Cricetulus griseus: one gene and its partner. The protein of the gene in region 1 interacts with the protein of each later gene in a biochemical or structural test. Links are inferred from orthologs where the notes say so. Each region holds a gene or a part of one and is shown in the gene's direction. Other genes may lie near its edges.

Region 1 (3,520 bases):
GACTCATACTCTGGATCTCCAGGAATGTAAACTGGCCTGGGAAGGGTGGGAGCTGGCTCATGGGATACCAGCACTATTTACCTCTCTTGACCTCCTCCAAAACCATCTAAGAGGAGGAGAGAACTCTTCTGGGCAGAGAATGAATCTTAAAGCTGTTTTTAGAACCAGACAATTTCAAAACTGGGGCAAAAATACCAAGAATGTTCATTTTCACCACTATAGATGCCTTTAAATAAACCTTCTTCTCATGCTGGCCATAAGAAGCCACTATGGATTTTAAAAGAAAAAAAGCTTAAAAAAAAAAGATTAAAATGAAGATGTGGATTTTCTTTTTCATTGTCAAAAACAAATATATATATTTACATATTTTTGACAATGAAAAAGATTATATATATATATATAATCTATGAACCTAAGGCCATTTTGATACCTAGGAATCCAAAGAAACCTGACAGCATTAGGAGTGTCTACCTGGATGGTTATAGTAGTACTGTTTGTTGGGTAGCCCAGCCTGTGGCCTGTGGTGTTACCTCGGGTAGTGTGGAGACGCACTAAGGAATATCAGTTCAGAGGTGACAAGCCCTAGTGGCCATTGAAGTGAGTCAGCTCGGCCTGGCCCCATCTGAGGTCTTTCTGTCCCTCCCCAAGGCCTTTTCACATTTGCAGACAAGGTGACAGCTGGGCTTAGGGACAGACCTCAGCTTTCCTTCTCTAATCTGTGATAGGGACCCAAGACAAGTCACTCTCCCGAGTACATCCTTAAGAAAGGTGAGGCTGCAGCAAGCCTCCTCCTCCTCACAATGGTAGTCCTGACTGCCTGTGGAGCAAAAAGACAGACGGCTGTAGATACAGGTCACCTCGTGAGTGTGGCATGCAGCCAGGTCTCACATCAAACAGCGATGAATGCCTGTGATGAAATGACCCTTAAGTACCCACCCCAGCCCCACTGGGTCTTTCTAGAAATAAAATTTTTAAGGTGCTGGAAAGCATTAAAAAGGCAGGATTGGTACTGATGAGGGCTGGTGACCCTGTATCCTCCTCCCAGAAGACAAAGACAGCAGCCAAGGAAGAGCCTTGGCTCAGCCATCCTCTTGGAGGAGTACTGGGTAGAGAGGAGGTTACTGTGGCTTCTGTCCGTTAAAGTGCTTCCCTGAGGCGCCACCTGTTCGTCCATACAGTCCCTGGTGGGGTCCATGTTTTCAAGACAGCCTGATCCCTGGGAGGGTCAGGTTCCAGCTGACCTTGAAGAACCCTCTCTAACCTGCCTCCCTTTATCCCCAGGAAGCGGACCCATCCAACTGTGGCAGTTCCTTCTGGAGCTGCTCTCTGACAAATCCTGTCAATCTTTTATCAGCTGGACAGGGGATGGATGGGAGTTCAAGCTTGCTGACCCTGACGAGGTACGGACCATTTGCACCCTCAACCCCAGTTTGGGTTCTAAAGCTGGCCCCGGACACAGGGAAAGTCAACAGAACCAGCAAGAGCCCTTCCCCAACCAGGAGCTCCGGCTCTGGGGCTAGCTGAGCCGAAGGACGCCACTCGAGGGCTTGTTCATGAATGGGCCCAGTGTCCTTTGGGCAGTGCCCTCCCTCCATGGACATTGTCCGTCACAGGTTCTCTAGTTACCCTCGGCAAGTTCTAGCGGGAATTCACCTTTGTCCCAAGTTGGACAAGGCACATAGCAGCCAAGGAGCCTTCAGGGTTGGCCCTGGGTCCCTCTGCTGGAGATGGCTTTGGTAAGGCATGATGCCAGCAATATACATAACGTAATCTGTCACCCTCTCTGTGTCTGGGGGAATAAGCATGTCTCATGCATGAGCCAGGGCAGTCTTTCCAGCTGTCACATGGCTTGGAACGTATCTCAGTTGGCAGAGTGGCTGCCTAGCTCGCTCACAGCCGTAGCTTCTAGCCCCAGCACCACCAGTCAGGTGTCATGGCACCCTCCTGTCTGTAATCAGCAGGGAAGCAGAGGTTGGCGGAGGGTAATGACCAACCTAGGGTTATGAGACGCTAGCTTTTTAAAAGGGGTTGGGGGGGGGGGTGTAGGGCAGTGTTGAAATAAGCATTATAGAGGATGGCTGACAACAGATGACCCTGTCTGGGACACCCCTGGTTCCAAATGGTTGGCCCCAGGAGCTGGAGGACAGGGGGAGATGGGGACATCCCTGGCCCTTGTACAGAGAAGCATCTCCACACATTTAAAGTGACCCAGACATGTCCCCATGACTTGGGTCCTATAGGGTGAGCATCCAGGGTCAGGGGAGGCAATCAAGATTGACACAGGTGACTCTGACCTTTCTATGTCTTCCCAAAGGTGGCCCGCCGGTGGGGAAAGAGGAAAAATAAACCAAAGATGAACTACGAGAAGCTGAGCCGGGGTCTACGATACTACTATGACAAAAACATCATCCACAAGACGTCAGGCAAGCGCTACGTGTACCGATTTGTGTGTGACCTGCAGAACTTGCTAGGGTTCACTCCTGAGGAACTGCATGCCATCCTGGGCGTCCAGCCTGACACAGAAGACTGAGGTCCTTGGGACGACCTTGAGCTGGCCCCGGGCCCGGGGACTGAGTGGGAAGCCTGTCCTGACCCACTGCTCCAAAGACCCTTGGGAGGGCAGGATGGAACCCCTCTGGGAGCTGCCAAGCAGCAATGGCCTCCTTTCATTCCATGCCTCTTCCACAAGGCCAGTTCCCCAGTGGTGGAAGGTGGCATGGCCTCTCTGTCCTGACACAAGACCTGGAAGGGAAGGGGCTCTGGGAAGCCACCCCAGCACCGAGCAGGCTGTGTGCTGATCACAGTCATTGAGGCTATTTGAGATGCGCCAGGGAGCTAGCGTGTGGTGGATGCACAAACCCTGAAAAACATTGTTTTTCCTTTGGCCTTTTGCCACCAGGAGTAGCAAATGCAAAAGCCACCTCTTGAGAGCCAGCTAGGCAGGTGGAGAGCAGCGACTGCTCCATTTCGGAAGTCATTTTGTACATATTATTGTATCTTATAACGTCAAAATCCGCCAACCGTTCTATTTAACAGAAATTGTATATTGTATTTAAAAGTAATTATAACTGTGTTTGAATCAAGAATGCAGATACCTGGTAGATTTTCTTTTCTTTTTTTTTTTCACTAGCACCTAGGAATGTCATTTTACACAGATTTAATCTCTCAGGAGCTAACTGAGAGAAATCGTAATATACTGTTTTCATTTGATTTTCCAACAGGAATGGGGTCTGAGGGATGACCCCTGGTTTTTACTTTTGTTTTTGTTGTTGTTGTTATTTTAGTTCTGACTTGCTCATTATCTGGCCAGGACTTTGTATATTGAGGTTTGTTTTTTTTTTTTATATAAGAAATTTAATGTTATTATTTGAGGGTGCCTCGGGCCTCTCCACTTCCTCCTGGACTGTAAAGTAAAAGCTATAAAGCAGTATTTTTCTTGACAAATGGCACATGTTTTCCACTTCTCTGCATGCCTTAAGTCGGTTTCTACACAAATGTATTTTATTTTTTGGCGTAACTG
Region 2 (3,520 bases), on another chromosome or scaffold:
TTATTCTTGTAAAAATTCTCATATAATAAGTGTGATTTCTTCAGTTCATTTTAAATTTGACTTTTCCCTTTTAGTTGTTGAACAGCCATTTTGCTGAATGTCTACAGTGTGCCAGAAGGAATGAAATGGTGCTATAGGTCTAGATTCTAGTGTATGGAGAGCTGTCTTCTGAAAAGAGATTGATGACAGGAAGGAAAAAAAGAAAAAAACAAGTGGTCTTTACAGTGATGAAGAGAACAGTGTGCAAGCAAGGGACGGCAGTGGCACAGCAAGGGAAGGGCACTGTCACCCCAGCATGTCTTCCACATGCTGGTCAGTGAGTGGCAGTCCTCCTACAAGATTTTAAGTGTACTAGATTAAGTGCGGGCCTGACTGAGAGCTGCCTGTCAGTCCCACGAAGCCGCATTGGTTGGCTCAGACCGTTGCTTTGCTTTTCAGCTGGATGAGCTGCAGCTTTGCAAGAACTGCTTCTATCTATCAAATGCACGGCCCGACAACTGGTTCTGCTATCCTTGCGTATGTGGAATTTTGTCATTTTCATTTATAGAGTACCATTTGGGTCATAGTTACTTCCTGTTTACTTAGGGACAATAATACCTGTGAAATTTAGTTCTTTACATCATAGTACACATGGTCTTAATGAATGTGTACAACTGAAACATGGGAAAATAACAGTAACTGTTTTTTAGTTCTGAATTTCAAACAAAGTACTTAGTAAGACCATGTACTGGGTCCTTTGATAGACAGGAGAGTGAATCTTTGCTTTTCCTCTCATTTATAAGAGGAGACCTGTGACTTTGCTTATATCTGTAGCTCCATCATTTCCTCTGAAATGGCAAAAAGCCTCAGGGTATTTGAGGGCAGTATTCTCAGTAACATTGACATTGGGTGGACTTAGGAGACCTCATAATCAGAAACTCTGTGTGGGGCCTAATTCTCCCCTTTCTAACAAATACTCAGGTGATGCTGGGCACAGAAGCAAAGTCAGGGAACTCTGTTTACTACTATCATGCACAGGGCCCTTGACTTTAGAGGTGACCTTTTCCAGTTCCTGCCTCATCTGGGAAATAGTCCATAATTCTGTTTTCTCTTAAGTATATGAATTGTTTTTCTTGATGACAAGAGAAAACAAAACAAAACACATGTATGTGTTTCAGAGTTAAAAGGAAACATTATCCAAATGGATTATGTCTTACTTAACCCATGATTCTCTAAGTAGTTCAGTATTAAAAGAAAGAACATTTCATTTTCAGATACCTAATCATGAGCTGGTTTGGGCTAAAATGAAAGGTTTTGGGTTTTGGCCAGCCAAAGTTATGCAGAAAGAAGACAATCAAGTTGATGTTCGCTTCTTTGGCCACCACCACCAGAGGTAATCCCCAACTCACACAGTGGTAAGATCTGCGCTGATGTATGTATGCTGAATGCTGTTTCAAATACATCACATGCCTGTAGCTGGAAGTAACTTATGCAGGTTTTCCAGTATTATTGTAAACGGCATTTTAGTGGGATGTTTGGTCCTCAGGTACAGAGCACACTAGTGCTGAGATTGAACCCATCATGCAGGGCATTGGATGCGGGGGTGAACCCACAGGCATGTCCGTTCCACACTGTAAAGATGTGCAGGTATTTGAGTCTTCTCTGTGACCCTATTAACGGGTAAAAACAATCAGCTTGGGATTGTAGCATCAGTCTAAGAATGTGGACAAGCACAGTGAGTATAGAGGAGAGGGACAGACACAGTTACAAAGCAGTGTCTCCACTCCCAGGCATGAATTTGTAAAACTTAAAAACTTACATATGTGGAATACATAAAATGTATGTATTCTAAAAGAAAAAAAAGAAACTGACTATAAAATTACCTCATGCATTTCTTAGATACCAACCTGTGGGATGACACACTTACAATACTGTTCTCAGGGTTAGTTGAGGCCCTAATAACATTGATCATGAAAAATTAGGGTTTTAACAGTAATGCCATTAAGTGTTGTCAACATTAGTTTGGGTTAGAAAAATGAATTCAACTTTTGAGAAGTCCCATTGGACTCAAAGTAAGGAGTCCAGTGATAAAGCCAGAAAAGTTTCCTCTAACACAGATATTAAAGGGATGGGAATCGTGCTGCCAGTCAGCCATGCATGTACTTTGAATATCTCCTTAGATCTTAGTGTCTGGGGTAGAGGTCAGTCATGTACGAGAAGCTTCAAGACAAAGGATTGCATTTTCCCCTCCTGGATTATAGTTTGTCTTATATAACCTGTGAGTACTTTAAATGTCTGTTTTCTCATTCATAAATAGACACACCTATCCAGATTTATGTTAAGAAACACAAACTAATAACACAACATTCAATCTTAATACAGAGTGAACATTTTAGCCTTTGATGAATAGGTTAGTTTTAGCATTACTAGCTTCATGTATCATATCTAGTTAGTTTCAGATTCTGACAAGGGGGCACTGTACACATGCCAGTGAGGTAAGTCAGTGTCTGTCAGTGTGTGTCCAAGTCTCTGCACTGACTCTCATCCAGATACACTAGCCAGGCTCTCTGAGCTTTGGGAAAGCTGGGCCTCACTCCTCATGAAAGCTTGATACAGACATAGCATAACACCTAGCTGGTGGTGGCAGTATGCAAAGTGATGAGTTATAAAGCAAATATCAGGAAAATGGGGAGGGGAATTTTTTTAAACTTCCAGATAGATAGGCATCTCAATAGACTTGCTAGTCTATCATGTAATGTAGAATCATTGATCTGGATAGAGTATGTCATGAATGATTGCTTAGATGACACAGTAAAAATCTACCATATTAGAGTATTTGATGTATTGAAAATAAAGAGAAATTGTAATTATGAATTAAGCACCAAAAGACTGGCTCATGAGGAGGCACTGGTTTTGAGGACTTTTTGTTTTGTTTTTGATAGGTATATTTATTGTATTACACATAGGGTGCAGAAAAAAATAAGCAAATAATTTTGGACTCGCTTTTTCAGACTGTGAGGCTGACTTAGCCTGCAGGAGAAGCCAGTTATTGCCTGCACATGGGACCTGTGGGAGTGGGTCTGTCTAGGATCTGCAAGATGGTCAGTTGCTTTGGACCAGTCAGCTTCCCTAAGGCAGCCAGACCTTTTTACTATAAGTTGCTGGAGATAGCATGACCCCAGTCAGGAGCCAGCAAGAAAGATGTTGAATAATTTGTAGTAAGTCACAGAATAAGTTCATAGATTTTTACTTTATTATACTAGCATTGAATTTTGGGATGTCCTTACTCCTTGTCTTTTTTTTTTTTTTTTTTTTATAGCTCAGAGTACCCAATGTTAATTTAAACTGATACCTATGCATGGAAATGTTTTAAATTGTGTTGAAAGGAGCATCTGTCCTGGTAGGTGACCAGGCCACTGTGCACACCTGTCACAGGATCCTCACTGAAGCAGTGCACTTTTACACTTGCTGACTGCCCCTGTGCAATAGGAGCATATGAATTCCATGTTCTAAATAAATCACCTTTGCCTCCTGTCACCTC

Evidence for each region. The genes of interacting proteins can lie anywhere in the genome.
Region 2: the proteins of Ets2 (region 1) and Zmynd11 form a complex in vitro, tested with the Homo sapiens proteins (2 studies listed by BioGRID). The link is inferred for Cricetulus griseus from reciprocal best matches to the Homo sapiens genes ETS2 and ZMYND11.

Annotation. Positions count from the first base shown.
Region 1 is NC_048597.1:2,209,686-2,213,205, reverse strand, and holds part of Ets2 (protein C-ets-2), read left to right. Parts: intron 1-1,281; coding exon 1,282-1,400; intron 1,401-2,314; coding exon 2,315-2,530; 3' UTR 2,531-3,520. UniProt on the Homo sapiens protein: Transcription factor activating transcription. Binds specifically the DNA GGAA/T core motif (Ets-binding site or EBS) in gene promoters and stimulates transcription.
Region 2 is NC_048596.1:233,952,655-233,956,174, reverse strand, and holds part of Zmynd11 (zinc finger MYND domain-containing protein 11), read left to right. Parts: intron 1-438; coding exon 439-516; intron 517-1,253; coding exon 1,254-1,372; intron 1,373-3,520. UniProt on the Homo sapiens protein: Chromatin reader that specifically recognizes and binds histone H3.3 trimethylated at 'Lys-36' (H3.3K36me3) and regulates RNA polymerase II elongation. Does not bind other histone H3 subtypes (H3.1 or H3.2).